Drosophila melanogaster: one gene and its partner. The protein of the gene in region 1 interacts with the protein of each later gene in a pairwise test. Each region holds a gene or a part of one and is shown in the gene's direction. Other genes may lie near its edges. The genes, in order: CG4270 and CG30158.

What was found.
Region 2: the proteins of CG4270 (region 1) and CG30158 interact in a two-hybrid assay, tested with the Drosophila melanogaster proteins (one large-scale study listed by BioGRID).

What each region holds. Positions count from the first base shown.
Region 1 is NT_033779.5:2,261,702-2,264,855, forward strand, and holds CG4270 (uncharacterized protein), read left to right. Parts: upstream 1-1,740; 5' UTR 1,741-1,856; coding exon 1,857-2,054; intron 2,055-2,114; coding exon 2,115-2,341; coding exon of another isoform or gene 2,342-2,345; exon of another isoform or gene 2,346-2,384; intron 2,385-2,395; coding exon 2,396-2,483; 3' UTR 2,484-2,540; downstream 2,541-3,154. Other genes in the region: CG34049 (uncharacterized protein), read right to left, coding at 2,566-2,719, 2,782-3,008, 3,071-3,154.
Region 2 is NT_033778.4:6,890,095-6,894,975, forward strand, and holds the start of CG30158 (uncharacterized protein), read left to right. Parts: upstream 1-1,665; 5' UTR 1,666-1,829; intron 1,830-1,885; 5' UTR 1,886-1,932; intron 1,933-4,881.

The sequences.
Region 1 (3,154 bases):
TCTGCTGGAATACAAGAATACATTTATTGGCTGCAGTTGAGATTGTTTGGCTTCAAATTCAGAATGAACTTTTTAAATTGTGCATTCATTTTTTGTGCGGTACTTACCCTATGCCAAAACATGACCAATTCGAATCAATGGGAATCGGAATTAAAGGCAGTATCCGTATGTGCAACCGAGTGCATCCGGCTCCGGATGCCGTGTGGTTGATGGAAATGCGAGCCTGTTTGCCCAGATACCAGATACGATATATCAGATACCATCTATGTATATAATGCCCGCATGCTCGAAATAAGAGTGCGAGTGTATTTATTTTGCGTATGGCGCGCACTGTACCCTCCACTCGACCAGCAATGCATAAATAAACGAAACCAAATTTGCGAAATTAATTAAATCGACAGAAAAGTAACGTGTGCGCTTTGCGTTTTACGCTTTGACTGTGGCCAGCTTACAACCCAAACAATTTGGCCACCCAGCCACTGAACCACCCAATCCCCCAGCCACCCAACCACCCAACCACACATTTTCCAACTCCGATGGCACCGAAATTGTGAATTGTGCATTGTGCGGATGACGCGACTGTGCATCGCGTTTCTGACAGAGGCCATGGAAACCTGAAATGCAGCGAGCAGGCTTAAAGTTTATTACAATATTACCAGAAATTCTACCAGCGGCTTAAATGGAGCCATTTATCCATTTCGAAAATATCTTTGTCTATAGAGCAAATGAAAATAAGAAATGGAAAAGGGAGCTCCCGATTAATTGAATTGAAATTCATCCTAATCTTTGATATTGATTGAATTATATATTACCAATTAACCAAATTGGCTTTAATCTGTATTAACATTAATACTTATTTAAATTCGCGGCTTAATAAACTATTTTATCCAGCTTTAAGCTTATGGCCGAGTACTTAAGTACTTAGTACACAAATTCACATAAATCAATGAGCTGGGCCATAATTTAGTGCCTGGCACATGAGTATATCAAACGCAATGCTGTGACCCCGCATCCACCTTGCGGCGCACAGGATAATTTCAGCGAGTCAGCCTGTCCTGCGGCTGTATCCGCCTATCTGTACATCGGAGCATCGGCTTAATCTCTGCCGGGAGCAGCGACATCGGCCGGTCCATTGATTTGCATTTGCACAACTCATTAGGGATTCACACTTGAAGCACCACCCGCAGCGCAGACACACACTCACACACTTAAATAATTTAATATTCCGAGTGTTTCGACATCGAAATTTGCACTTCCATGGGCGGCGCTGCGGGCGATTGATAAGGGGCCTCCATGTCGGCCAACTCGCATTATCCAGCTCGATTCAGTCGGCAATTAATGCCACTCCAATTGCCCGATTTGCCTGCACCTACATATCCAGCCATATGGCTGGATTGCGAAAGAATCGCCGGCTCATTAATAACCAAACCCAGTGACATGCATCACTCATACGTCACGTTGGTTAATCCCATCGGCAGATGCAGAAGAAGGATGTGTGATACAGTCTGTCTAATTCCCGTCAATGGATTTGGGCACGCACACGTCCTGTGAATCCGTCACCCACAGCCTGTGTTTGCGGTATCAATCACAATGCTAATACCGATGTTTAGGCCAGATTATGAGGCGGTTTGAAAAAAGGGTTTTTCGGCTGTAAACAAAACATTGTGATTGATGGGTGAGCTATTCAGAACTCAGTGAAAATTTTAATTGACTGCCTTGTATACATGTATAATAACCACTTAATTTTGTAACTTAAAAACGAGAAATGTTGATCTAGCCAGCTAGCTTAAAAAGTCATTAGGCATACGTAAATTTGGTTAACTAAATCACGGCGCCAGCCAATCCCCCAAAGAAATATGGCGAAGAGAAACGTAGCGCCCATTCCCAAAACCCACGAGCGCCCTCCAGGTCCCAGGGGTCAGGATACCAAGGGCAACAACGAGCTCTTCCTGAAGGAGGTCTTCAATACCACCAATAAATATCGGGCAATGCACGGCTGTCCCGCGGTGACCATTAATGCTGCACTAAATAAGCTGGCTCAGGAATGGGCCAATGTAGGATGAGGGATAAAGAGTATTCTATAGTATTTTATATTAATTTGCACCCATTTCCAGCATCTCCGCGATCAGAACACAATGGCGCACAGACCCAATCCCAAGTACGGCGAAAACATTTTCCTCTCCGGTGGAATGGATGTGACCGGTGATCTGCCGGTGGAAATGTGGTATCGGGAAATCAATAGCTACGATTTCAACAAGGCGCAGTTTGTGCCCACCGCTGGACACTTTACTCAGCTCATTTGGAAGTCGTCGGTGGAAATGGGTTCGGGTGTGGCCCGAAAGTGAGTCTTATGGCTATGGCTATGGTAATCCTATTCATACATGTCTTCCAATAGAGCGGATAGAACTTGGGTGGTTTGCAACTACAATCCTCCCGGCAATGTTGTGGGTTTGTTCAAGGATAATGTGCCGCCAAAGCAATAACTCTGGGATTTTTTGATCAAAATTTTAAGCATAATAAAAGCGTAATCTAGGTCCAGTATTTGTTTGTTTTATTTACCATTTTCTATTTTAAATTGTGATGTTTCGATTTTCTAGTTTCCTTGGCATCCAAGTCCGATTTAAGTAGAAGGAATTTTCTAGGCAGGACATTTTCCCTGAAATGTTCGCTTACATTTCCAGGCGGATGGTAATTGCACACAATCCAAATGGAGGAAACACTGCGTGTAAAATGTAGTTAGTTTCGGATTATTTTTAGTATGACTTAAAATTATGAACCCACTCGCATGCCACGCCCACTCCCAGGAACTCTGACTCTCTCCAAACCAACTGGGTAAAATGTCCAGTGTACAAATTAAAGCCTGGCTTTAAGTAATCGTAGTTGTATTTTTCTTGGTACCAGAGTTTCAGTATTTGATCCACGGAGAATTTGGATCTCCGGACACGCATAATATTCTCGCCGTAAAGAGGATTAGGTCGAGTTTCCAGTTTGTTCAGATCAGCCAAATGCTGTGGAAATCAAGTTTAGGTGAAAAAGAAAGGATCTATTTATATTAAATACATCTACATACATCTGCCCACTCCTGTGCATAGGAACAAAGTTTTTCATCCATTTTCAGGGGATTGGCGTTGTGAAGCCTTCGGTACTTATTGGT
Region 2 (4,881 bases), on another chromosome or scaffold:
GACCCTAACTTTTGCGAACTATTGTGACTCTCGAAAGTTGTGCTGCACTGTGTGTGTTTAAAGCTTCCCTTTGAGGATGTGTGTGCCAACTACACCGTGTGGGGGGAGGGGGGGGGGGCAACTCCGCAGGTGGCAGGGTCGAAACGATTACTCCTTCTGCAACGTGGAACAGACAATTGTGGAGGCAAATTGTAATTGTAACTCACTTTTAAGTGCGTCTGACAAGTTTGGTAATTAAGGAATTATGTCATGCGCACGTTTGCCATTCAGAAGGACCCTTGCCGTAACTGGCTGTGGGAGGTGGAGCGTTTTTGATTGCATTGGCTACATTGGTTACCTGGGGTTTCCTGTGTCGCATTCTGTGTCCCGAATGTTGCATTTTTGCAATTGGCATTTAATTTCGAAAGCTGCTAAGTTGAGCATTGTGTTTATGCACGCTGCACTCCCATTGAAAGTTATCCCCATTGTTGGAACCCAGAGCAGGCTAGTCGAGACTCTAGGTGACCCTGCGCACCCAAGGTGTTCAAAACTTTTCACTTTCCCACGGACCACGTGAAAGGGGGACTGGCTACCGCAAAATGATAATAGAATCCCAGTTCGCTCCAATGGAGACTGGGCACAATTTACCGCTCGTCCTGGCATCGCACGCTCGCCCACAAAGAGCAGGTCAGAAAGGACTGTGCGGAAGGACGATTTGATGCTCTGAAGAGCGTCACACTGACAGCAGCTGCCAATGTGCGTATCTGTGCGAGTCAGGTTAATGAAATACTTGGAACATGCCTCCTGCCAGCCGGTCAAGCGGCCTGTCTCGTCCTGCGTGGCCAAAGGACATGTCGAGACGGATGTCCCTTTTTTTTCGAGCCTGCGAGTGTGTGGATCTCCGCTCAGGGCGATGGAAAGTGCAAAACTTTGTTAGCACTTTGAATTTAATACATGCTATTGAATATTAACGAGCTGTTTCGGCGTAGAATGAGGAGTAAGTAAACAAGGTTTGGCCGACAATTATCGAGTATACGCCCCGTGTGCCGCCTTGGCTGCCTGTTTGCCTTTTGGCAGCTTGTGGGCTCTGTGGGTAATTAACATTTGTACGTCAATATTTGCAGTGGCAGCCGCTGGCATCTAAATGAAAATCTCCACGTGACATGAGATACTCTTTGCATCTCATTAGATTTAATTACCATTTCAGGTATTTTGTATTATGTTTTGCGAGATATGTAAACATTTGTATAGATTCTGATGGGTACTTCTTATGTTTCTGTATCGAAAATCTGAACCAATGTTTAGTGAACGAAATGTTTTAGTTGGGACATAGATGCCAATCCCCCAATAACAAACTTAGGGTCGTCTGCCCAAAATTGAACTGTCACAGGAATTATTACCAACTGACCGCAGCTGACAATGCCGTAGGGGTAAGCCTTTCATCCTTTCGAGCAGGTTCGAGGGGCAGACCCATAATCCGACTGAAGCTTAAAGCACGGGTTCAGACCTCAGCTAGTGCTGAGCAAGGAACTTAGCTTTGTCCTGCCGACGCCTGCGTCCTGATTCGCTGTAGCGTTTGCTTGTTCGCAACCACAACCTGCAACACGTTGTGTTTTGAATGCTTTGGCGGCAAACACTCGTGGCCTGTTGGATGAATATAAAAGCAAAGTCCCATGCTGGCTGCCAAACAGTTCCCTGCTAGACAGCAACGCACGCGCTCCTCAGTGGAAACCCAGAGACTTTCGGCAGTGGATTACAAATTTTGGTTGAGGTGTCAGGAGCAACCGATGCTTCTGTCGTCCTAGTCCGTCGTCCGGTGGTGTTCAGAGTGTCTGTGGCTTTGTGTGCGGGTGAATAACCAGAACATAAATCAGAAATTTAATCAATCTCACGTGCCGAATTGCAGTTTACCACAGTTTCGTCGCTATTTCGGGGTGATTAAGTATACGCCAGGTAAGCCCACCTCGCAGCACTGCGTCGCAATCCCTATGACCTATTAAGGCTTGGTGGAGCAGTCCGGCGCGGAGTGGAGTGCGGTCACCCGGAATGCTTCCATCCGGGTCGTCCAAGTAACTCCTCCACTTTATGGCCACATTAAGGCATAAACAGGGGCAGAAAAACAAAGCACGTTCTGAGTGCAAGTGCAAAAGAAACGACTTTAAAGTGCCTGCCAACGGGACAAGTTGCGGTTATGGCGAAAAATTCAAATTTCTCGCATCCTGACCTGCCGAATTCCCACTCTTCATCCAGCCCTAGGTGCGTCTTTGATATCCAATTTTAACGGCAGCATTCGCTGGCATAATAAAAATTTATCGTAAGCGCATTAAATTTGTAGCCGCCGCAAGTTTCGCTCCGTTCCCTTCGCTTTCCTATTCGACATGTAGAGACAAAGAGTCTTCGCAGCAGTTAACATGTCTAAGTAAGCTCTAAGTTGCCACCAGATCTGCCTTTTGTGTGTCCCGGACGGAGGAGGCTGGGCGGATGGGAGCCGTGCCATGTTGTGCATTTTTATTACGATTACACAGCTCACACATGGCAGAAAGCACTGAAGCGGGATGGGTGACAATCATCCCCTAGGAGCCCCTAGAAAATCCACCGTGAGGGTCCGTCATAAATTCTAAATTTGACAAATAAATAAAAGGTGGATGGGGGACTCGATGGCCATGCTCAATCCATTTGTGCACTGGTTTTGTGGATCTATAATCGGATTTAACATGTATTTTTATCCCGTACGAAAATTGCTCTATGGGGACTCCATATTCCATACGATTTCGATACTTTCGTTATTGATAGACTAGGACTCCAATGTCGCTTTAAGCAACAAATGCAAGTTGTCTAAAATGTTGAAGCATTTTTAATTTGCTTCGATAAATTAAACATTCTGAGCCAAGGAGTGCTTAAAATCCGACACTTTTCTAAGTTTATTTTCTGTTTAGTTATATCGAAATTTGGGGCAAAAACAAACAGTTCCCATGAGACCAGGCATATCATTTGATTATTTATTCCCTGTTAAAATATAATACCATGGTTCCCAGACTGATGATGAATTGAATTTGATTTAAATGAGACTTTCTAGGTTTTTAGAAGAATTTAATTTAATTCTCTTCTTCTGTGCAGCCACGGCTTTATTGGGTTTCATTGGTTTTGATACTTTTTAAGTCGAGACCAATTGCACTAGATTTATCACTTCCTTCAGAGGTATCACCATTTCCAAAGAAACGCTTCGTCTTCCATTTCCATGTCAGTACTTCTAAGAACCCACGTCGCAAAAAGCAGCACTTTAATTTGGGCTCATATTGCCTACGCTTACAGCTTACTTTCATGAAATTCATTCGCTTAATTGTATTTTTCGATTGTTTTTCCAAGTATTTCTTTCTTGAGATGAAAAGTCAACAGACAGTCGGCAAAAAATGGGTTTGTGTTTTTCGTTTTTTCCAACAACATGAGGGTCCTCGGTAATCGGAAACCGCAACTGTTTGCTTAACTCCCTCCGAGATTGTATAATTAATTTCACATAAAGCCTAGTCGCGAGTTTGACTTTTTAAAGGCATTCTCAGGGGGAGCAGCTCCTAGGTGACGTGGCCCCACCCCTCACTCTCACCTGTCGCCTTCATCCCCCAATGTGTGTACACAGTCGCTTGTAAATGATTGTGCTCCATATGTTTATGCTAGATTAAACGGTTTTCCTGCCAAACTGCGAATGGGAATAAAACACACACGCGCGCGCACACACACACACACACACGGCAGCTATGCAGATGCCCCCGTAGGTATGCCAGCTTTTTTATTGTATCTTAAGCTGTGCCAGCTGCGCAGCTCCTCGGGGAGCGCCCGACTCGGACGCACACTTTATCATAATGGAGTCTAGACCGGATGCCTGAAGTGCGATGGCATTTACCATAGTTTGCATTTCTACGCTCCCTGTGCTGCTGGCCTTCGCATCTGCTCATCTTTTGGTCCAATCGAGTTGGTATTAAAGTCATGCCTTCTGAGTGAGGTTCATTAATCCCACCGCACTCACAGTCGCTTGTCAAGTCGCAAGGCAGCCCGAGAGGCCGCTTGTCTGTAAAGGCTATTAATTATATGTGACTTATTTAATTGATAAACTGGGCATTTCGCCCTTCATACCTTCGGCATAGTACAGTGCTCTGGATGTTGCAGCTGACACCTTCAAGAACGAGCCATTTGCTGTGGCTGAGTGTGTACTTCGCATCACTCATACGCACTGTGGTACGCAATGGCTTATCCCTGAGAATTCCGGCAGCTGGCATGAATTGCAATCCGTATGCAAAGCGCAAATTGAAAATGCACACGAAAGCTGAAGAGTAGGGGGGGGGTGATGAGAGGGGGATGTGGCACCCAAAGTGGCAACTAAATGCTGGCAAAATGGCAAAACTGCACGCCTTTAAAATTGTTTTTGTTCCTCCCGCCTTGTTGTATTAAAATTAAAAGCACATAAAAGGTTCAAAGCTTCCACTTGGCCTGACAACGGTCCTCTTCTCTCGCAACAGAACATAACAGGACGGAAAAGAACAGGTCCTGGCCCTATGTGCGAGTTCGTGTTTCCGCCCTAATGCCTCCATTTCCACTTATTTTAATAGTTTTTGCTCTTTCCGGGCGGCACTTGTGAGCCTCTTGGCCGCCAATGGCTTCATTGAAATTTGGGCACACACACGGCCGGCATATTTGTGGGTGAGCAGGCTCTTGATGTTGCGGCCGCATTTGATTAAAGTGCTGGACCATGCTTGTTGTCTTCCACTCTTTGGCCATGATTATCATCTCGATGGGGATGTGTGTTTGGGTTTGTGCTGATTTTATGGTCCGACGGATTTCTCTTTTTTGGCTTCCACCATCCACCGCCAGTGCCCCTTTTTTCCGGCTTTATTGAAATTGTATTGTACA